4 linked regions of the Saccharomyces cerevisiae S288C genome follow. The protein of the gene in region 1 binds, or shares a complex with, the protein of each later gene. Each region holds a gene or a part of one and is shown on either strand. Other genes may lie near its edges. A codon is read from its position in the direction of its gene.

What was found.
Region 2: the proteins of VID28 (region 1) and GID12 are in contact, whole or in part, in a cryo-EM structure (PDB 7WUG), measured with the Saccharomyces cerevisiae proteins. Residues at the interface, in NP_012247.3 of Saccharomyces cerevisiae: Gln786 (codon at 4,396), Tyr787 (codon at 4,399), Ala788 (codon at 4,402), Gly854 (codon at 4,600), Glu856 (codon at 4,606), Phe857 (codon at 4,609), Val858 (codon at 4,612), Arg859 (codon at 4,615), Thr860 (codon at 4,618), Ala863 (codon at 4,627); in NP_010105.1 of Saccharomyces cerevisiae: Arg24 (codon at 1,933), Phe26 (codon at 1,939), Arg32 (codon at 1,957), Leu33 (codon at 1,960), Leu35 (codon at 1,966), Glu640 (codon at 3,781), Ile641 (codon at 3,784), Lys658 (codon at 3,835), Leu659 (codon at 3,838), Cys660 (codon at 3,841), Asp661 (codon at 3,844), Ser662 (codon at 3,847), Leu663 (codon at 3,850), Lys664 (codon at 3,853), Leu665 (codon at 3,856), Asn666 (codon at 3,859), Arg667 (codon at 3,862), Arg670 (codon at 3,871).
Region 3: the proteins of VID28 (region 1) and VID30 are in contact, whole or in part, in a cryo-EM structure (PDB 7NS3), measured with the Saccharomyces cerevisiae proteins. Residues at the interface, in NP_012247.3 of Saccharomyces cerevisiae: Glu197 (codon at 2,629), His198 (codon at 2,632), Val201 (codon at 2,641), Ser204 (codon at 2,650), Ser205 (codon at 2,653), Leu208 (codon at 2,662), Asp209 (codon at 2,665), Ile211 (codon at 2,671), Leu213 (codon at 2,677), Lys214 (codon at 2,680), Tyr215 (codon at 2,683), Ile216 (codon at 2,686), Val217 (codon at 2,689), Arg218 (codon at 2,692), Leu219 (codon at 2,695), Pro234 (codon at 2,740), Phe235 (codon at 2,743), Asp236 (codon at 2,746), Asn237 (codon at 2,749), Lys238 (codon at 2,752), Gly239 (codon at 2,755), Arg244 (codon at 2,770), Ala245 (codon at 2,773), Lys248 (codon at 2,782), Lys249 (codon at 2,785), Arg279 (codon at 2,875), Lys280 (codon at 2,878), Leu281 (codon at 2,881), Asp284 (codon at 2,890), Phe287 (codon at 2,899); in NP_011287.1 of Saccharomyces cerevisiae: Asn14 (codon at 3,338), Cys15 (codon at 3,335), Ser19 (codon at 3,323), Lys72 (codon at 3,164), Trp75 (codon at 3,155), Ile98 (codon at 3,086), Gln99 (codon at 3,083), Val100 (codon at 3,080), Tyr101 (codon at 3,077), Lys102 (codon at 3,074), Tyr103 (codon at 3,071), Phe104 (codon at 3,068), Tyr105 (codon at 3,065), Pro106 (codon at 3,062), Val108 (codon at 3,056), Phe111 (codon at 3,047), Thr112 (codon at 3,044), Arg114 (codon at 3,038), Phe115 (codon at 3,035), Gly116 (codon at 3,032), Val117 (codon at 3,029), Tyr529 (codon at 1,793), Ala530 (codon at 1,790), Lys531 (codon at 1,787), Asp536 (codon at 1,772), Val538 (codon at 1,766), Lys554 (codon at 1,718), Asn555 (codon at 1,715), Ile557 (codon at 1,709), Leu559 (codon at 1,703).
Region 4: the proteins of VID28 (region 1) and FYV10 are in contact, whole or in part, in a cryo-EM structure (PDB 7NS3), measured with the Saccharomyces cerevisiae proteins. Residues at the interface, in NP_012247.3 of Saccharomyces cerevisiae: Asp70 (codon at 2,248), Ile71 (codon at 2,251), Val72 (codon at 2,254), Gly73 (codon at 2,257), Thr74 (codon at 2,260), Tyr75 (codon at 2,263), Phe77 (codon at 2,269), Asp78 (codon at 2,272), Leu445 (codon at 3,373), Asp448 (codon at 3,382), Phe449 (codon at 3,385), Ile456 (codon at 3,406), Thr459 (codon at 3,415), Thr460 (codon at 3,418), Ser463 (codon at 3,427), His464 (codon at 3,430), Leu468 (codon at 3,442), Pro469 (codon at 3,445), Pro470 (codon at 3,448), Ile471 (codon at 3,451), Tyr472 (codon at 3,454), Phe528 (codon at 3,622); in NP_012169.1 of Saccharomyces cerevisiae: Lys305 (codon at 1,139), Ile308 (codon at 1,130), Phe309 (codon at 1,127), His311 (codon at 1,121), Phe312 (codon at 1,118), Phe313 (codon at 1,115), His314 (codon at 1,112), Lys315 (codon at 1,109), Leu317 (codon at 1,103), Pro318 (codon at 1,100), Arg319 (codon at 1,097), Ile320 (codon at 1,094), Thr321 (codon at 1,091), Ser322 (codon at 1,088).

Annotation. Positions count from the first base shown.
Region 1 is NC_001141.2:317,390-323,005, reverse strand, and holds VID28 (glucose-induced degradation complex subunit VID28), read left to right. Parts: upstream 1-2,040; coding exon 2,041-4,806; downstream 4,807-5,616. Other genes in the region: aspartyl protease BAR1, read right to left, coding at 1-664; SNL1 (Snl1p), read right to left, coding at 1,073-1,552; 60S ribosomal protein uL2 RPL2B, read right to left, coding at 5,074-5,616. UniProt on the Saccharomyces cerevisiae protein: Component of the GID E3 ligase complex recruiting N termini and catalyzing ubiquitination of proteins targeted for degradation.
Region 2 is NC_001136.10:140,234-145,024, forward strand, and holds GID12 (Gid12p), read left to right. Parts: upstream 1-1,863; coding exon 1,864-3,990; downstream 3,991-4,791. Other genes in the region: DLD2 (D-lactate dehydrogenase), read left to right, coding at 1-881; YDL177C (uncharacterized protein), read right to left, coding at 976-1,488; AIR2 (TRAMP complex RNA-binding subunit), read right to left, coding at 4,251-4,791. UniProt on the Saccharomyces cerevisiae protein: Regulator of the GID E3 ligase complex. Modulates both assembly of the substrate receptor GID4 into the GID E3 ligase complex and its activity toward its substrates.
Region 3 is NC_001139.9:67,649-73,047, reverse strand, and holds VID30 (glucose-induced degradation complex subunit VID30), read right to left. Parts: upstream 3,378-5,399; coding exon 501-3,377; downstream 1-500. Other genes in the region: OST5 (dolichyl-diphosphooligosaccharide--protein glycotransferase subunit), read left to right, coding at 60-299; SHE10 (She10p), read right to left, coding at 3,717-5,399.
Region 4 is NC_001141.2:178,348-182,477, reverse strand, and holds FYV10 (glucose-induced degradation complex subunit FYV10), read right to left. Parts: upstream 2,052-4,130; coding exon 501-2,051; downstream 1-500. Other genes in the region: BMT5 (25S rRNA (uracil2634-N3)-methyltransferase), read left to right, coding at 1-361; FMC1 (Fmc1p), read left to right, coding at 2,239-2,706; SGA1 (glucan 1,4-alpha-glucosidase), read right to left, coding at 2,825-4,130. UniProt on the Saccharomyces cerevisiae protein: Component of the GID E3 ligase complex recruiting N termini and catalyzing ubiquitination of proteins targeted for degradation.

The sequences.
Region 1 (5,616 bases):
CAGTACCTGAATCAGGTGAGTTTAAGAACAGCGAATACGCGACCACATCGATTATTTTTTCACTTTTTAAAATCTGAGGAAAATTAGGATAATATTCATTAGGAGCACCTTCATAGCCCTTAACGGACTCTCTTCTAGGAAACCCAATTCCAAGAACACCACTAACGGGTGTCGTAGCATACTTGGCAACTCCGAACTGGATATTGGGGATGTCAATTCCATTAATTGATACAGTTTCCGTCCCCCAACTACCGTCAGCAAATGTTCCGTCAGCATATGTGATGTAAAACCTACCATTTTCCAGATATTGGTAGGTGGAAGATCTATGCTCATTATAAGTACTCATAGACCTGCAATCAATTGAAGGCTTAACTTCTTCGCCATTATAAGTTGCGTTTGAATAGGATGACGTATTTGAATTTGGTAAGCAGAAGGGATTGCTAGAATCCATAACCCAAAAATCGGCAGATCCGGTATCAAACAACACTGTCAGACTTTGGGACGGTGTACCTATATCTAAGGTTGTTGCGTAATACATCTCCTCTTCGTGTTGTAAAAGGAATTCTAAGTGACCAGTGCCATCGTTTGTTAAAGCAGTAATGGTGTTAATAATCGCGAAACTCGCCAAAATAAGTTTCAAACAAAGATGATTAATTGCAGACATTATATGACCCTTCTAGACACTCTTTTTATTTTGGTATGATTTTAGGCGATACGAACCACTAGAATTAAATCACGCGAAGATCATTAAAGAATTCATCATGACAAGGCTCGACGTGCTTTCTCTTCACTTTTATACTGTTATCAAAAAACACACACATTCAATAACTATAATGTGGTGTGTTTCAGAATAGCTGGCTGTGTATACATGTTATTGTCGCTATTATGTGACACTCGCCATGTAATTTCCTTTTACGGTAATTACATGCCATGTTTCAGCATGATGTCGGAGGTAGAAAAACAGGGACAACGCATCTCTAATATAATAAATGCAACAAATGTGTACCGTACCGGAATGAGTGCAGCCTATGAATTCGGCAAGAGCCGTTATCTATAAACTAAAAATACAAACTTATTTAAGAGAGTCCAAACTTTTTAACATAGCCTGAATTTCCTTTATGACGCCTTTCCTTTTTTCCTTCAACGGCCTTCTTAAGGACTCATCCACGTTAATCAAATCGATACTGTCTAACTCAATCAGCAACTTCAAAAGCATTTCGTTGCAATAGTTACGCTCGTAGATGTCCTTTTCATCTTCCACATCAAATCTGTTTATTAGATCCTTGCTACGACCTTCCAACTCGTTGCCGTATCTCAACGACACATTGTCAATTTGTTCTTCTAGAGTCAGAGGAACCGGCGCTTTTTCAAACTGATTCTTACCTTTCTTGTTCTTTTTAGAAGCCCTCTTTTTACTGCTTTTTCCCTTGCTGCCATTGGGTCTTCTGATTGTAACCAAAAATACAACAGCAATCACGGCCAAGAGGACGTACGTCGAGGTACTTGTTTTGCTCAGCTTGCTCTTCCAATGTTCCATTGCGTTGTGCGACATTACGGAAACGTACAATTGCCCTTCTGGTGCTATTTTTTCACCAACAAACAGGATTGAAACCAGCACTACAGAGCTGATTCCATCTTTTTTTCTACTGGTTATGTCAGTTCGCGATATTTTTTTTCAATATCGACCAAATGATAGTAAAGGCAAATTGAATTAGATGAGCACAAGTCTTCCATTTAAAAACCCCTCTAGCTATGGCTCTCCTTCAAGTCCATATGCGCTCTTGAAAAAGCATGCTTGCCGATTGAATTGCAGGTAGCATAAATGGTTTTGCTTGTGTATGAAGCTTTTGACCTTATATTCGTCATCCGTTATAAGTGATTAGACTGAAGGGGCGCGAACTAAACTAATTAGATTATAATACGTTTTATAGGGATATCACTACAAACTGCGGCCTAAGAGGATGATCTTCATGGCGGAAACTTGCAGTTTTCCTGTATCATTGCCCTCGTGTTAGATTGGTGATATATTACAGTTACACTATGACGGTGGCTTATTCCCTAGAGAATCTCAAAAAGATTAGTAATTCCCTGGTGGGAGACCAGTTGGCTAAGGTAGATTACTTTTTGGCTCCAAAGTGCCAGATTTTTCAATGTTTGTTGTCCATTGAGCAAAGTGACGGTGTAGAGTTAAAAAATGCGAAATTAGATCTGCTATATACCCTTTTACATCTAGAACCGCAACAAAGGGATATAGTAGGCACATATTACTTTGATATTGTGTCCGCAATCTATAAGTCCATGAGTTTGGCAAGCAGTTTTACTAAAAATAATTCTTCGACAAACTATAAGTACATAAAGCTTCTAAATTTGTGTGCAGGAGTTTATCCAAATTGCGGATTCCCAGACTTGCAATACCTCCAGAACGGGTTCATCCAGTTAGTCAACCATAAATTTTTGAGGAGCAAATGTAAAATTGATGAGGTGGTCACGATTATTGAATTATTGAAGTTGTTTTTACTTGTGGACGAGAAAAATTGCAGCGACTTCAACAAGAGCAAGTTTATGGAGGAAGAGAGAGAAGTGACAGAAACTTCACACTACCAAGATTTTAAAATGGCAGAATCCCTTGAACACATAATAGTTAAAATATCATCGAAGTACTTGGACCAAATAAGCCTCAAGTATATAGTGAGGCTAAAAGTATCCAGGCCAGCGTCACCATCCAGCGTCAAGAACGATCCGTTTGACAATAAAGGGGTCGACTGCACCCGTGCCATACCTAAAAAAATCAATATCTCAAACATGTATGATTCTAGTTTACTCTCATTGGCACTCCTTCTATATCTAAGATATCATTATATGATACCGGGTGATAGGAAACTGCGGAATGATGCGACGTTCAAGATGTTCGTTCTGGGTCTTTTGAAGAGTAATGACGTTAACATTAGGTGCGTGGCCCTGAAGTTTTTGTTACAACCGTACTTTACAGAGGATAAGAAATGGGAAGATACGCGTACACTCGAGAAAATACTACCCTATTTAGTTAAGTCATTTAATTATGACCCGTTGCCTTGGTGGTTTGATCCATTCGATATGCTGGATTCATTGATTGTGTTGTATAATGAAATTACTCCAATGAATAATCCTGTGCTCACCACGCTAGCTCATACAAACGTTATATTTTGCATTCTATCCCGTTTTGCGCAGTGTCTTTCTCTACCACAACACAATGAAGCTACTTTGAAAACAACTACAAAATTCATTAAAATATGTGCGTCATTTGCAGCATCGGACGAAAAATACCGTCTTTTACTGTTGAATGACACATTGTTGTTGAATCATTTAGAATACGGGTTGGAATCCCACATTACTTTGATACAGGATTTTATATCTTTGAAAGATGAGATAAAGGAAACAACTACGGAAAGTCATTCTATGTGTTTACCCCCAATATATGATCACGATTTCGTGGCAGCTTGGTTACTATTGTTGAAATCATTCTCGAGAAGTGTTTCAGCGCTTAGGACGACGTTGAAGAGAAATAAAATTGCACAGCTGCTTTTACAGATACTAAGTAAAACATATACGTTGACCAAGGAATGCTATTTTGCTGGACAAGATTTTATGAAACCGGAAATTATGATTATGGGCATTACTCTGGGTAGTATTTGTAACTTCGTGGTGGAGTTCTCTAATTTACAGTCATTTATGCTGAGAAACGGTATAATCGATATAATTGAAAAGATGTTAACAGATCCATTGTTTAACTCAAAAAAAGCCTGGGACGATAATGAAGATGAAAGAAGGATTGCATTGCAAGGCATACCTGTGCATGAAGTGAAGGCAAACTCTTTATGGGTACTAAGGCATCTAATGTACAATTGCCAGAATGAAGAGAAGTTTCAGCTTTTGGCCAAAATCCCGATGAATTTAATTTTGGATTTTATTAATGATCCATGTTGGGCAGTACAAGCCCAATGTTTTCAGTTGCTCAGAAATTTGACTTGTAATTCAAGGAAAATTGTAAATATTCTTTTGGAAAAATTTAAAGATGTAGAATACAAGATCGATCCTCAAACAGGTAATAAAATTAGCATCGGCTCAACGTATCTTTTCGAATTTCTTGCAAAGAAGATGAGGCTTTTAAATCCATTAGACACTCAACAAAAGAAAGCAATGGAAGGCATCCTATATATTATCGTGAATCTAGCGGCAGTCAATGAGAATAAAAAGCAGCTAGTCATCGAACAAGACGAAATATTGAACATTATGAGTGAAATATTGGTAGAAACAACGACTGATAGTTCAAGTAATGGTAATGACAGCAATCTGAAATTGGCATGCCTCTGGGTACTCAATAACTTACTTTGGAATTCATCAGTTTCACATTATACCCAATATGCAATTGAAAATGGTCTGGAACCAGGGCATTCACCAAGTGATTCAGAAAACCCTCAATCTACGGTGACAATCGGGTATAATGAATCAGTGGCTGGTGGATATTCTAGGGGGAAATACTACGATGAGCCAGATGGCGATGATAGCAGTAGCAATGCGAATGATGATGAAGATGACGATAATGATGAGGGTGATGATGAAGGCGATGAGTTCGTTCGCACCCCGGCTGCAAAAGGTAGTACATCAAATGTACAAGTAACACGTGCCACGGTGGAAAGATGTAGAAAACTCGTGGAGGTAGGATTATACGATCTGGTTAGAAAAAATATTACAGACGAATCATTATCTGTCAGGGAAAAGGCCAGAACGTTACTATATCACATGGACCTGCTTTTGAAAGTTAAATGAATGCACAGAACTCGTAGTATTTCCTACAATTAATTTATGCTATAGTTTTTTAAATAGTATTTTCGCAGAAGAATCCATAACTGCAAGCTTACGTTTAACTAAAATTTCTGTGATAGGAAGTAGCTGGCTGAATTTATTCTCATGTCAAAGAAAAAAAAGTATGCATAGAAATATCACTTTATAAGGAACGTTTCGGATTAAATTATATAATATTTAAGAAAATTGATAAAATAATATGACAGAAGGAAGAAACCAAAATTAAAAAGATTAATCTTGGGTCTTTTGAGAACCACGTAGTAAACCGGTTCTTCTGGCAGCAATCAAACCAGCCTTTTGACCAGAAACGGCACCTCTAGAGATAGTAGAAGCCTTACCAATATGTTGATGGTTACCACCACCGTGAGGGTGATCAACTGGATTCATGGCAACACCACGGGTCTTTGGCCAAGAGTTTCTCTTCAATCTGTACTTGTGGAAAGCACGACCAGCCTTCAACAATGGTTTGTCAACTCTACCACCACCGGCAATGACACCGATGACACCTCTGGCGTCAGAAGAGATAACCTTCTTGGCACCGGATGGTAATCTGACTCTGGTTTTGTTTTCATCTGGGTTGTGACCAATGATGATAACGTAGTTACCAGAAGCTCTGGCTAGGGCACCTCTGTCACCTGGCTTTTCTTCAACGTTGGAGACAATGGTACCTTCTGGGACAGAACCCAATGGCAAGACGTTACCGACGTTCAAAGAAGCCTTTTTACCAGCGTAAATGAATTGACCAGTGTGAACACCTTCGTTAGCAATGAAGAT
Region 2 (4,791 bases), on another chromosome or scaffold:
TTAATAGCATGCATTCCATGAGAAAAGACAACACCGGTTATGATCTGAAACAGCTGTTCATTGGCTCAGAAGGTACTATCGGTATCATCACTGGTGTTTCAATCTTGACTGTTCCTAAGCCAAAAGCGTTTAATGTATCTTACTTGTCTGTTGAAAGTTTTGAAGACGTTCAAAAAGTCTTCGTCAGAGCCAGGCAAGAATTATCTGAGATTTTATCCGCTTTTGAATTTATGGATGCTAAATCTCAAGTATTGGCCAAGAGCCAATTGAAGGATGCTGCCTTCCCTTTGGAGGATGAGCATCCATTTTATATTCTTATCGAAACGTCAGGGTCAAACAAAGATCACGATGATTCCAAACTTGAAACATTTTTAGAAAACGTCATGGAAGAGGGCATAGTAACGGATGGTGTAGTGGCACAAGATGAAACCGAACTCCAAAACTTGTGGAAGTGGAGAGAAATGATTCCAGAGGCAAGTCAAGCTAATGGTGGTGTTTACAAATACGATGTTTCTTTACCACTAAAGGACCTATATTCTTTGGTTGAAGCCACTAATGCAAGACTTTCTGAAGCTGAATTAGTGGGTGATTCGCCCAAACCAGTGGTGGGCGCCATTGGATACGGTCACGTGGGTGATGGTAATCTACACTTAAATGTTGCAGTTAGAGAGTACAACAAGAACATTGAAAAGACTTTGGAACCATTTGTCTACGAGTTTGTTTCCTCAAAACATGGTTCCGTTAGTGCCGAACATGGGCTAGGTTTCCAAAAGAAAAATTACATTGGCTATTCTAAGAGCCCGGAAGAGGTCAAGATGATGAAGGATTTGAAGGTTCATTATGATCCTAATGGAATTTTAAACCCTTACAAATACATTTGAAAATAAAATGCCAAGTTTTATAGTTATCTACATATGTATATATTTATCAATATTATATTCTACAATTGTGTATATTATATGGTAAGGGTGATATTTAAGGAAGAAATCCACCCTTCTTTAAGGTTTCCACTGCACATGTTGAAATGTGTCTGAATCTTGATGAGCCCAAAGGCGTGCCACCATACCATCTGGTCACTATTACCAAGACGTTGAATATGTTTGCTCTTTCAAGTAAGGTCAATAAACGCTGTCCAGCACCAGCTTCGCCACAGTCAGCACATCCTTGCTCAATGTTCTTTGGCTGCACCGTTATGTTCCTTGACTTGTTAACATGACTATTATTACTCTTATTTGCTTTATTGCCCTTCTTTTTCTGCTCTTGTTGTAAGTGCAAATTATTTGATACCTCGGCCGTTCTCCAGGCATACATGTGCATGTGGGATGCCTTGGAGACGCTTTTGTTGTTTTGCGTTAGTTCTTGGAGTATGGAGGGTATATCCTTTTGATTTTGTAATGGGCAACATCTTGCTTGAAATTTCGATTTTCTATCAACTAAAACTTCTGATTCATTCCATATTTTCACTAGCTTACCAACATTCTTACTCATTTCTCCAAAAAATAGTAATACCAAACATCAATACCTATCTAAGAATCTGTATAATGTCTTTTCTAAAGGTTTTTTACAGCTGATGATTGATGCATGACTTATTTCCACAGTGCCGTATTTTCTCAGTTGCCGTTTTGGGTCTGCTTTTCACAATGCGAAGCTTTGTTGAAAAGAGCTCTAAGGTCAAAAACAATAGTAAGCTGATCGGTATTAAGTACTTGCCTTCCTGAAAATTGCTAACAAACATCCAAATATACCTTCCCCATAGTTGAATGGCATCTAATAGAACAAAACCAGGTTAAGATAGGTTTTACTTTGAGTTGTTAAATACACGCAGAAAGCGTCTTTCCACATAATCTGAACATTTTGTTATCGATGGCTACTGGCAGGATTCAATTTGCTGTTTCTACTCCCTGCAATACTAAGGGTAAACCGTCTGGTTATAGGTTATTTGAATTTAAAAACGATCGATTAGCACTGGTCCCATCAGAAAGAGGTTGTACAAAAGTAGATGTGAATGCAAATATACAAGCGTTTTGTTATTTAAGGCCTAATGGTAGAGACACGTCAATATCTCCAGACGCAACGCATATTTTGGACTCATGTGATTACATGGTGCTGGCTAAATCCAACGGATTCATTGAAATCATAAGCAACTATCAATACAAGATAAAAAATGGCCTGCGATTAGCGCCCTCTTATATCCTTAGATGTACTCCGGAAGATTTCGAATCCAATTTTTTTAGTGACTATATGATCGCTGGTCTTGAATATAGTCAAGGTTTATTATATTGTTGTATGTGCTCCGGTCGAATATATGTCTTTGTAATGAACCTTCCCACTGATTACATTCAGTATAAGAACATGTACAACCCCATGTTTCCAGATTGCTTTTTCAAAGTACATCACGATAATAATACAACACATTCTTCAGAAGAAGAAAAATTATTTGAAGGTAGTACGCGGTACACTGGAAGGTCATGCTCTAAGCATATCTGCTACTTCCTTTTGCCTATAGAACCATCCCATTTAAGATCGTCACCCGTGGTATCTTCGTTTTGCAATATGTATCAAGGCCTGCCCATATATAGGCCTTCGATGTATTTACATATAGAACGAGGTATTTCCACATTCCATATAAATCCATTAGACCGGTTTTGTTTCATGACAGTATCGCCACGATCACCACTATTTATAAGGAAAATAATTTTACCATTGACTTATGTTACATTTTTAAGCACCTTTATCAGCCTAAAGAACAGTATACAGGGAGATACATGCGGTGAGATACTTTCGTGGGACAACGTAGCGCAACAAAATGGATTTGGTTCTTTGTTCAGCTGGATTAGTAACAAGTTTACATTCGATACGGATATTATAAATTCAACCATTTGGGATGATATTGTAAAATATTCTGGAACAGGAATGCTGGATTCAGGAATCGTCTGGAAACAGCGTCAAGGTCACGCTAAAGATGACATATATGAGTTATTCCACACTCAAGATATGCTGGGAAGTAGTCGCCGAAATTCTTCATTCAGTACTGCTAGCAGCGAACCGAGACCGCTGAGTCGAAGAAGGAGAGAATCTTTTCAAGCCTTAACTAGAGACGCTTTTAGAGAAAGAATGGATGTACCCTGTTCAACGAAGTGGGAATTAGATTCTTTTATCCGAGGATTAAGAAGGAATACATTTATGGTAGATTTTGAAATTGTTGAAAAGATTTCTCATAGAAATGGAAATGATGGGGTGAATGAAGATGATAACACTACAGATGAAAGTGATGAAACAATGACTTCTTTTCTAACAGATAATTACAAAAAGATGGACATTGTGTGCATCGATCATTTCGTCACGTTGAGTGCATTCCGACCTCGGTACTATGATGAACCAATAATTAAAATCGATTCATTATCGAACAAAAATGGCTCTGAAAATGGAACTAATGAAGAAGAGTGGGCAGAAAGTCAAATGAAGGTGGATGGCCAAGTGATAGATGATGAGACAGCTCAATTCAAGCAGGCATTGGGAAATTTATGTTCATTCAAGAAATTATTTATGCTGGATGATTCTTTATGCTTTATATTGGACACACATGGAGTTTTGTTGATAAATAGATTTGAAATAAAAAATACCAAAAATTTGTTAAGGAATTCCAAGGATACTATTCGGATAATACCCCATGATTTCGGATTGATTAATGATACAATTGTTATAATTAATGATATAGACGTAGGCACAGACAATGTTTGCGCCCTTACGTTTCACTTGGTGGTAACATCAATGGCAGGAGAGATAACTGTTCTTAAAGGCGAATTTTTCAAAAACTGCAGGTTAGGAAGAATAAAACTGTGCGATTCACTAAAGCTAAATAGAAAAGATCGGTTTGTCGACAAACTTGCTCTAATCGATTATGACGGTTTAAATGCACAAAAAAGAAGGTTAGATTACGATGAAAAGGACCTTTATACATTCATTGTGAAAAAGGTAAAAAGAGACTAAATTGAGTTGCATAGATGTTAGCCATAATAGAAAATAGCGTATGAGGTAGCAGGAGTTATAAGACGTATTTACGTATATGTATGTATATGTTATTATTATTACCTGTGATTGCACGAAGGCCTTTTTTTTTCACAACAAGAAGATGTAAGAAATTTACATGCTATTTTGATTAATGGTCGAATTAGGTATTGTCTTTAATCTTTCATTAAGAAAATATAATGTAACCAAGAACAGCTTGTTAAAGGGCTTCCTATTTAAAGTTATCTTCTTTTCCCCAAGGTACCACTCCTATATGGTTGATAAGAATTGTAGTTTCTGTAATTGGAAGAGTTGGAAATGCTGTTATTATCAACATAAGTAGAAGGGTTATATCTGGAGCCATACATATTCTCCGATATCGACGAGACGTTTACTTTTGTATTTTGATACCGTGAATTTTTACTAATATTATTATTGAGTGACAGCGTCTCGCCCCTTATAGTTGGTTGAATGACATTAGACTTTTGATAAGGAGGAGGATGGAAGTTCGATGCTCTACGTTTATTTCTGCCACTATGAGAGTGATCGTTTTGGGAATGTCTTTTATGGGAAGGTCTCGGTAGTGGATCCTCATCGTATATGGACTCACTAAATTGATAGTCTTCATTTTCGTCCGAATTTCTGTTCATGTGACGGTAATATTCCTGTTTTAGCTCAACTGACAAATTAGAACCAGTGAACGCACTTCCATCCTCGTTAGGTACTCTAGATGATCGTTTTTCCTTGCAATCATCACCAAAGTGCCCCTTTCCACCGCAGTTA
Region 3 (5,399 bases), on another chromosome or scaffold:
TCATAATTACTAACAAGTATAGCCAATTCGCCTTCTCGGCATTTGTGTAATCACTTAAGAAAGAGTTCCATTCCTCAAAGAGCTTCCAGCCATTTATCCACTTAGACACTCAACCAAAATTTGCAATTTGTGGTTTAATCGTTACATTAGCTGTATTATCATCTGCCCTGTTCGCCGTCGGTTCTAAATCTTCATACATTAAGAAACTCTTCTTCTACACAATTTTAAGTGTAATTGGCAGCTTGTTTGCTGGCTTGACCACTGTTTTTGCTTCGAATTCTTTCGGTGTCTACGTCTAGTGGCTCTTCGTTGGCCTATAAAGGAATTATCGATGAAATTATATACTATACTTAAGAAGTATTTTGGATGAGAATATTAAAAAGAAAGGTGTCAAGTAAATTTCATTATATAAACGGTTTAAGACATATTAATATGCGATTTTTGGGAAGATAATGACTGATATCACATGGCTTTGTTGTTTGAAGGTGCTTGTTTTATGCTCATAAATTCAACACATCTTCGTCGAAGTTAATAGCTTTGTAATATCTTGGATCTGAAGAGTTGGTTGAACCGAACGCGTTATACTCAAGTAATGTAGAAAGCATAGCTCTAGTGTTTGATATTACATTCTCTAATGCGCATTCGCTATCCTTATGTAAAAATGTTAGTATTGTGTTGTTACTAACTTGAAATAATCTCTCTTGTAAGTATTCGTCACTCAAATATCCTGATATCTCCTTTGGTGCCTCCACAAGTGGATTGGAATATGCTAACAATGCAGAGACATTACTCAATTGTCCACTAAACCTATCCCTCAAAGATTGTGGAATTTTAGTATCGTAGATAAATTCATTAGATAATTCTTGACCCTTCAAAATTAAATTTTCAATTTCGTCATCATCTTTGGATGAACTCTTTTTAATCATCACCAGATAATTCGCTAGTTTTAACTCAAATACCAATTCTAGATTATTTTTTAACAGATCTGGAATTTCGTTATCGATATAATTGATGCATTTGCTAATTTGACCTTTGTTTATCAAGTATCTTAATTCTTGCCTTATCTTTACCATACGTTCTTCTTTCATGATCTGTCTTTCATTGTGCCTGATAACATCTTTACTTTCAGAATGTTGCCCATTGACATTAACCGCATCTTTTTGCAAATCTTTCAAAAACCCCTTTGCAACATCCACCAATCCTTCGTGGATCAAATAATCATTTATCATCACGTTTAATGTATTAGGCAATGAACCGTCATCCACGCTTAAGTTGTTAATATTGTTCACGTCTGGTCTAACTAGCTTTCCATCTATAAACCTATTATCTTCTCCCAAAAGAAACTTCAGATTGTTGTCCTTCTCATCGTTAAGCTTCTTTGTATCCTTATTACCAGCGGCACCATCCTCTTGATCAATATCCATCAAATCTTCATTAACGTTTGTTGATTTATTTTCTTCAGGCCCATTTTCAGTTTCATCTTCCTCACTTTCATCAGAGTCGAATTCTTCAATTGAAACGTCCATTTGGCGTCCACGACAAATATGCTCATACGCCAAACTCTTCCATTTATCTTGATATCCAATAATGTCAAATACAAAATCCTCATTTAACCCAAAATTTGTTTTGATAGAATTCCCAGGTCGTAAGGCCACATATGGGACGAATTCTAGATCATTCAAGTCGGTGAATGCGTTACCTAAATGGATACCATTCTTCGTGAAAAAAATTGAGCCATCGATAAAATTTATGCCACAACCAATAACGTCATCCCTACCAAAAGGCTTAGCATATTCCTTAGATTGTTCTGTAGAATTAGTTATCAAACCGTCAAATCCGCAATAGCCAAATACATTAAGATCAAATCCGTATTTCTGACACTTATTTATGGAACCATCCACGTTAAGAGACATGGCTGAAACGCCCCCTTCATAAATATAATCACGCCTTTGAGTACCTTCCATAGTGAAAGAAGTAGAAGGTACTCTATTGGAACTCATGTTATTACTACCACCTAAGCTACTACTAGAACCGGCCACGCTTGAACGAGAAACACTCTTTTTTGTAGTCGCTTCCATTAATTCATTCTCTACTAACTTGTATCCGATAACAATGTTACTATTTTCAGCACTCTCTGTACTCGTTACACTGAGAACTTTAATCTCGTAATAGAATATAGTTAACTTATTGTCTGGCAATGACTTATTTGCCCAAGTGACTGCAAAGTCCACTTTCCCAGAGTTCTCAAAAGAGGTTCTCAGTCTATTTCTGGTAGAGGCAGAAGAAGCGCTTGATCTTTCATAAGTCATGTATGAGTGATAATCAGGATTAGGTTGTAAATGAGTAATACCATCTTGAGATAGCTGCAAGCTGTTATTTGGTTGAGCTTGCCATCTAGAAGGTAAAAAGTACCCAAGTATTTTGTAAATATCAGGGATCATTGAGTTTTTCTTTTTGCTACCACTGTTGGACAAAACATTTGTTGCCTCATTGTCATTTTTGTCGTTACCAGACGATACTCTAGGAGAAGAAAAGGAAGAACTTGGAGACTGATCAGGGGGGTAGTATTGTAGACCACTGTTCTTGTCAGATGTATCCCACAAATTCCTTGATTCTGTTTCTATATTAATAGCTGATCTAGATCTTTGATATATCCATGGGTCCGCAACCCTTTCGGCACGCTGCTGTGCACTGGACACATCAGCATCAGCTCCTCTACTTCCTTCTTCTCCACCTTCCTCGTGATTGTCAGAGCCATCTCCTTCGTTGTTATCGTCCGTGTCAGTATCCACTTCCCCTTCTAAGCTTTCCAGATCGGATTCATCGTCGTCGTCGTCATCGTCATCGTCATCATCGTCATCATCATCATCGTCATCATCATCGTCATTTCTGTCATTTTCCAGGCTGGTATTAGAGTTAAGCGCCATTTCACGTTCGGATAAAACGGGTTCTAATAGTTCCTGAGCATTTTTCCTCATGTCTGAGGAAGCTTTCATAACTCGCACTGAATTTTTATTTGAATCTTTAACACCAAATCTCAAAGTAAAATCATTAACGTCTGGATAGAAATATTTATAGACTTGAATCAGGTAATCGTCGTTGACAGCTTCAAACGAAATTGTGCCTAGAACACCCAAATTCATCAATTTAGACCAGATTTCTTTCCTTGTTAAAGCAGTTAACTTTGTCCTGCCCATTCCAACGCCAGTGGGATTTTCATCAGCGTTGATTAAGTTAGTGTTCTTCAGTTTGTGAAAGAGTTTTCTATGTTGCAAATATAAAATCCATAAATCATAAGCCACAGGCTGTTGCAGCAAGTAGCTCGGGAACAAACAGTTAATGAATTCGCGGTCTACGTCATCCATATATTCAGACATTTCCTCTTAATTATGCTGAAATTCGACGCTTGGCTTTAACGTACTACTAATATTTCTGCTATAACAGTAACAGTTCTGGTCCAATCCTTTGGCTCTTTCTTTTGGTTGATCGATTCATCAGTTCCCTCCCCTGAAAGGCTCGCGCGTCCTGTAATCTAGCAAAAATAGGCAGGATACAAAATACAGTGGAGTGGTAATATTATATTCTTATATGGCTATATATGTTTATATATAAAGGTAAAGACAAACAATAAAGAACATACATATATATATAGATAGATATTGTGTGTGTGTGTGTGTGTGTGTGTGTGTGTGTGTATAGCAAGCGCATGAATTTCATCACAATGTCATGGTAATGGTTGTGGTGATGGTCGAAGTAGAGGTGTAGGATACGTCTTCTTCGTCTTCTTCTTCCTGTTGTCGTAATAGCTCCTGCTGCCTTTGGAACTCTTCTGCTGCAGCTTTTTCACGCTCTTTTCTTTCACGTTCCTTTCTTTCACGTTCCTGAAATTGCAGGTTGGCTTTCGATCTTAGAATATACAAAAACTCACCACTCTCTTGAGTGAACGATAATATCTTCTTTTGCACTTTTTGCCTAAACGCGTTAACACGGGATAAGTCAGCGGAATGGTGAGCCAGCTTGTCTCTAGATTCTATGATCTGTTTCTTGCCCTTCAAAAACTTCTTCCAGTTAACAGAAGACTTTGCTTTCTCTTCATCAAGCGTAGTGTCATCATCTGCACCCATGTGAGCGTTGATAACATCCACATAAGCCATTCTTTTGGACCATTCATTTACAATGATATCACCCCATTCTTCAAATACCTCGACGTTTTCCTCTCTAATTGCATTAACTTTTTTTTCAATTTCATCAGTGATTTCGCTCAAATCTTTCTCCATAGCATTTGTCAGTTCGTCTAACGTCGAGCGCGTCTCGTTGAAGTACTCACGAACTAACTCTCTCGTTATGTACTGAGAAATCTCAGTACTTCCAGATTTATCGAAGAAAATTTTCTTGCCAGTTTCACTATCAATGCCTTCCACACATTCAATATCGTTAATGGCTAGCGAAATCTTGGAGAAGAACTTCTTAGATTTATCATCTAAAGATTGAAACTTGGCTTTAAAATGGTTGGCCTCCTCAACCAATTTACCATTGATGTATTTGGAAACATCCTTTTCAAATAGCTGTATGACGTCTTGTGTTTTCTGCAATATAGTCTCACTCCACATGTCAAAATCCTCTTGCAACAGAGCCTGTTCATTGACATTGACGTCTGTGGAGCCTTCAACGTCTGTGGAAGCCTCATCGTCGTGCGCATGATTAGCAACAGCGCTAGCCTCTTCCTGGTCCAAAGTAATTGTTTCAACCACTGTTTGAGTACTTGTTGTAGTTAGCTCCTCTTCGTCAGACTCCATAGTACTTACGGTTAAAACCATGTCCTCCGAGGAAGGCTCACGTGTGACAGAACCATGAATGCCATGCGTGTCCTTATTCTTGAACTTTCCCATTAATTTTTCCTCTGTATTACCAACAATAAAGTCGTATTTGGATTTGATGCATCTTGAAGTGATAGTAAAGTAATAATGGCCTATATTTTTATACTTTAAAATTCTTTCCTTCAAATGAGAGCGAAACTCCGCAGTAAAGAATTTGTCTAAGTTAGGTTTCACAAAAGCATTGTATTTTGCGAAGAAAAATCGTCTAGTCTTGACCATTGGGGAGCGGACCAATTGGTAATACTTTCCACAGTTCCATTTCTTACATTGTGAATGGATGACCTTGAATGCAGGCTGTATAGCGACCTTGTTCACTTTTACTGTAGCGTCATCGATGACAGGTTTGACAGCCGTGTCATATTTACGCGCCACTATATCGAAACCGGGACTAACTTTATTTTTGTATAATTCACAATTTCTTGAAAAGTAGGTGTTCCAGACTCTTGGATTGGTATAATGGCAAAGCGTTTGCGTGCGTTCACACGATATGCTCCCACTATTGAATTCGCAACAGTACTGAAG
Region 4 (4,130 bases), 140 kb from region 1:
TCAAAATGATACTCTTCGTTATACGCAAGGCTATGATCTTAATGAGGATACTCCCCAGGCTAAAAAATTGACCGCCGAAGGTTATGGTAACATCATACTGTCCCTTTTCGATGGAGAGCCCTATGATTCATGGCAAATCAAACTTTTAGCCAAAAAAAATGGACTAACTCTGAGCAGATCGAGCAAATTCCAATGGGAAAATTTTCCAGGATATCATCACCGGAGAACGAATAGCGAACAAGATACTACAAAACCTGCGAAAGAACGTGATGCTAGGTTCTACATCTTTAGTAAATATGTCTCGAATAGTTCAAAACATAACCGTAAAAGCAAAAAAGACACAGATTCTGATTCAGACTAAGTACAGAAGGAAGAATGTCGCCATGTTGATGAAAGAACTTTCATTTTCCCTAATTCTTATATAGCGTAAGTATCTGTAAAATAGTTGTGAAAGTTGGACAAATCTTTATATAAAAAAATGCATATAGCTTGAAACTATTTCAGGTTGGGTACATTTTGATAGAATCTGATTCGCAAAATATTTTCATGTCAACTGGATCCATAATTTGACCTGGATTTAAAGAAATTAAGTTTTGCTTTTTCAATGTTTTGGCCAATTTCTTCAATTTTTTACTGTCGTAAACATTTCCATTTGGTAATAGTATTGGATTTTCAAATAATTGAGACTGAATGTGATGAGCAAATGGTAATGCCTGTGTTATTGGTTTGAAAGTCTCACTGCAAACGGGACAATTTTTCCTTTTTAGTGAATGTAGCGTAAAGAGTTGTAAATCTTCAACTTCTTTCTCTGCTGTTGTGGCAGTTTCCGTCTCTTGATTTCCATTTTCATCGTCAGAAGGGTGCAGGCAATCTCTTGTCTTCAAAGACGATATACCTAGTGACAGGTATATCAATAAAGGGTCATTTTGTGATATGCCATACATGGAATAAAAGTCGCTCAAGAATAAATCATTTAATACCGACCATCTTTGATCATCTAATAAATTCAGATATCTTTCGAAATCTCCACTTTGTAAATTTATTAAGGAACTCTTGTCATAGTCTGTTGTATTCACCGCAGGTTTGGAGGTAATTCTAGGTAAAGATTTGTGAAAAAAATGTTGAAATATTCGATCTTTCTTCATTGGTAAACTTTGAGACTTAATCTCTTCAGTATCGAATCCAGAGCTGGTAGAAGAAGTTGGCTTTTGATCATTACAGTATTTGATAAAAATCAGAAGTCCAGATGCTAATTTTAAATCGGTGAAGTTGCTCTTAACGAATGGTAAAAGGAATCTTTGAAAACATACTATAGCGTCGGTATAGTTATCCACCTTTAGTAGTTCAATATATTCTTGCAATCTTGCTTGAAACTCTAATATAGAGGACTTTTTGGTCAGTGTCTTTTTGTTCTCGTTTATCCATGAAATTAGGGGTAAGAGATTACGCTCATGTAGTAACGAAGTCGAAATTCTATTAGCCTCCAAGAGGACATCATAATCAATGAGATCATCCAGTTGGCTCTGTTTCAAAAACACTACGCCAGAGTTCCAATGATCCTTTGTCTCCGAGTTGTATTTAATCGGGTTATTCCTCGTCAGATAATCACCAATTAAAATGTTTGTATAACTCTGATACCACTGTATCAATTTAGTCCTGGTACCCTCATTATTTCCATTGTGCGATGTTCCTGAATTTTGTGACTTGATGTCCTTCAGTTCGTGGAAAAACTCCAGCCTTTTTTTAATTCTGTTCAAAATCTGACAGTAGGACTTGATTTGCGTATTTAAAAATCTTTCTATATGGTCAACTTTCCTAATCATTTCAGTTATTTTTGCTAGTGCCAACTCGTCGTGCTCAACGTCATTATGTTCAAATATTTGATTTAATGCGGCCGTGTGTTCATGTAGTGATTTGGTTTCCTTATTAATTACCGCTTGAGTATGCTTGATACGTTTGGACAGTAGTTCATAAGGAATATGAAATAATTGTTGATTTAATTTCAAATGGAAATCCACATCAGGCTCATTAAATATTGATTTCTCTGCCATGGCTTACCTACTTTCCTATAATTTATAATCATTTTCTCTGTTTTATGTATGAAATTGTAGATTTAACCACCCCCTTCTCTTCGCCTTTGCAAAAAGTGAATATCTCAAATTGCACTAGAGTTTCATTTGCAGCGATAAGTGGATAACAAAAAGCTGAAAAGAGAGAGAAAGAGAGAGTGCCAGGGAAATGGATAGACCAAGAACATTACGCACATATAGAGGACTCATAAGAGCCATTCTGAAATATGAAAGGCCAAGCAAGATAGTCAATTGGGGCAATCTACGAAAGGCAATGATAACAAAGTTGGAATATGCTAAGAAACAAAATCAGAGAGACTCGCATGAGAACATCAACAGACAGTTAGAGAAATGGAAAAAACTAGATCCGGTAAGCGACAGATCTTTGAATTTGTTTATAGCCGACTCTAAGTCATTACGTTCCATATTACAAAACGATATAAAGTGGGAGAAAAAGGTGGCCCAGGGACAAAACGTTGACGAGATATTCGAACACGCTTTGGACATCATCAAGTTCTTGGACAACCAAAGAGAATACGAGGAGCTGGTCGACAGATACAATCCTGGCAACAAGTTGACACAGGATGAGAAAGTGAAAAGAACTGCAAACGTGGTTGGGCTGGACGTTCCGACATAGTATCTAATCAATTTATAATATCAGAGTTTTGTAAATAAGTATATATATATATTTGATGTAAATATCTAGGAAATACACTTGTGTATACTTCTCGCTTTCCTTTTATTTTTTTTTTTGTCTACAAACTCTGTAAAACTTCTTGTCTTATTTGATAGGCATCCCAGAATGAAGTATAGGACCAGGTAAGGTGTTGGGCACCCTGCATAAACCCTGTGTATTTGTTAAATTGTTCACTTAGTTCCCCGTCTGTTCCCACGTGAGCTTTCAGCTTGACCAAGAATGAATCAGCTAGTTGGAAGATTTTTTGTATGGTTTGATTGAAGGCAGGTGTATTGAACTCCAAAATCAAATAGCCTTCGTCATTTCCCAAAGTCGTGAGGTTGGAGAATACCAGCTCGCTCCAAAATGCGTTCGAACAATCGTTGTTCATTGGGACAACCAAGTCATGCTGCTCAGAGATGTGTCTGTAAATGAGCTGATAAAGCGTTGTTGAAGCGGTACACGTGGCCAGGACCCAGGGATTTCCCTCGCCAAAGCCATATCCATCATATACGTCCTCAGGATACCGGCCCAGGGCAATACCCGTTGCATTTTTGGAGCTATCGTTGATGGGGTATATCGAACGCATGTGCAACATCAAATGGTGCAACGTGTTCAGGACGGCAGGGTCATTGATATCGAACGGAAGATGGGAAGCAGATGGCGCATCGTGGACGGTGTTCGCAGCTAATAAAGTGGATATGTCCAGTCCGGATCTCAATGTGTCGGCAATCATGGGTGTCCCAACAATATAATTGTACTTGCCGTTGATAAACCCATTCGCAGGGTCCACTAAAAACTTGGAGATGTCCCGGCGTGTCTGACGCAATTCTTCAACAAAGGGAGACGACCGTTCTGAGGCGTTAAAATACGACAGCGACTTGTCCACTGCAGACAGTTGTACCAGTAAAGTAAAGAAATGCATGCCATTGACTTCCTCCCATAGATCAAATCCGGAAGAATTCCAGTGGTCAATAATGAACCTCAGGTCCCAACGTACAATATCATCAAAGATATCTGCGGTGGACTGGAATGGGTACTTGGCCCCCAGATCAGTGCCAGATTGCTTGATGTAGTCGATGATTTTTAAGATGGCAATGCTTCGAAGAGCAGGCCCATCGTTTTGAGGACGACCCCAATCTTCCGTGAAAGCCGTGTTGTCGACGTTCCACTTAGGGTCTCCCAAAGCCACTGTATCGTTAGTGTAACCAATGCCAGCGCCCAATGTGTTGTTGCTTCTTTGCAAGTGGAATGAAACGTTCAGGTACTGCAATAACGTCTCTATTGCCGGGCCCGCAGAATGAGAGACAATACTGTTTATCGTCAACGCGCTGTCCCTTATCCATTGGTAGAAGTAGTCTGGATGCGTTTGCGATGGTGACGCA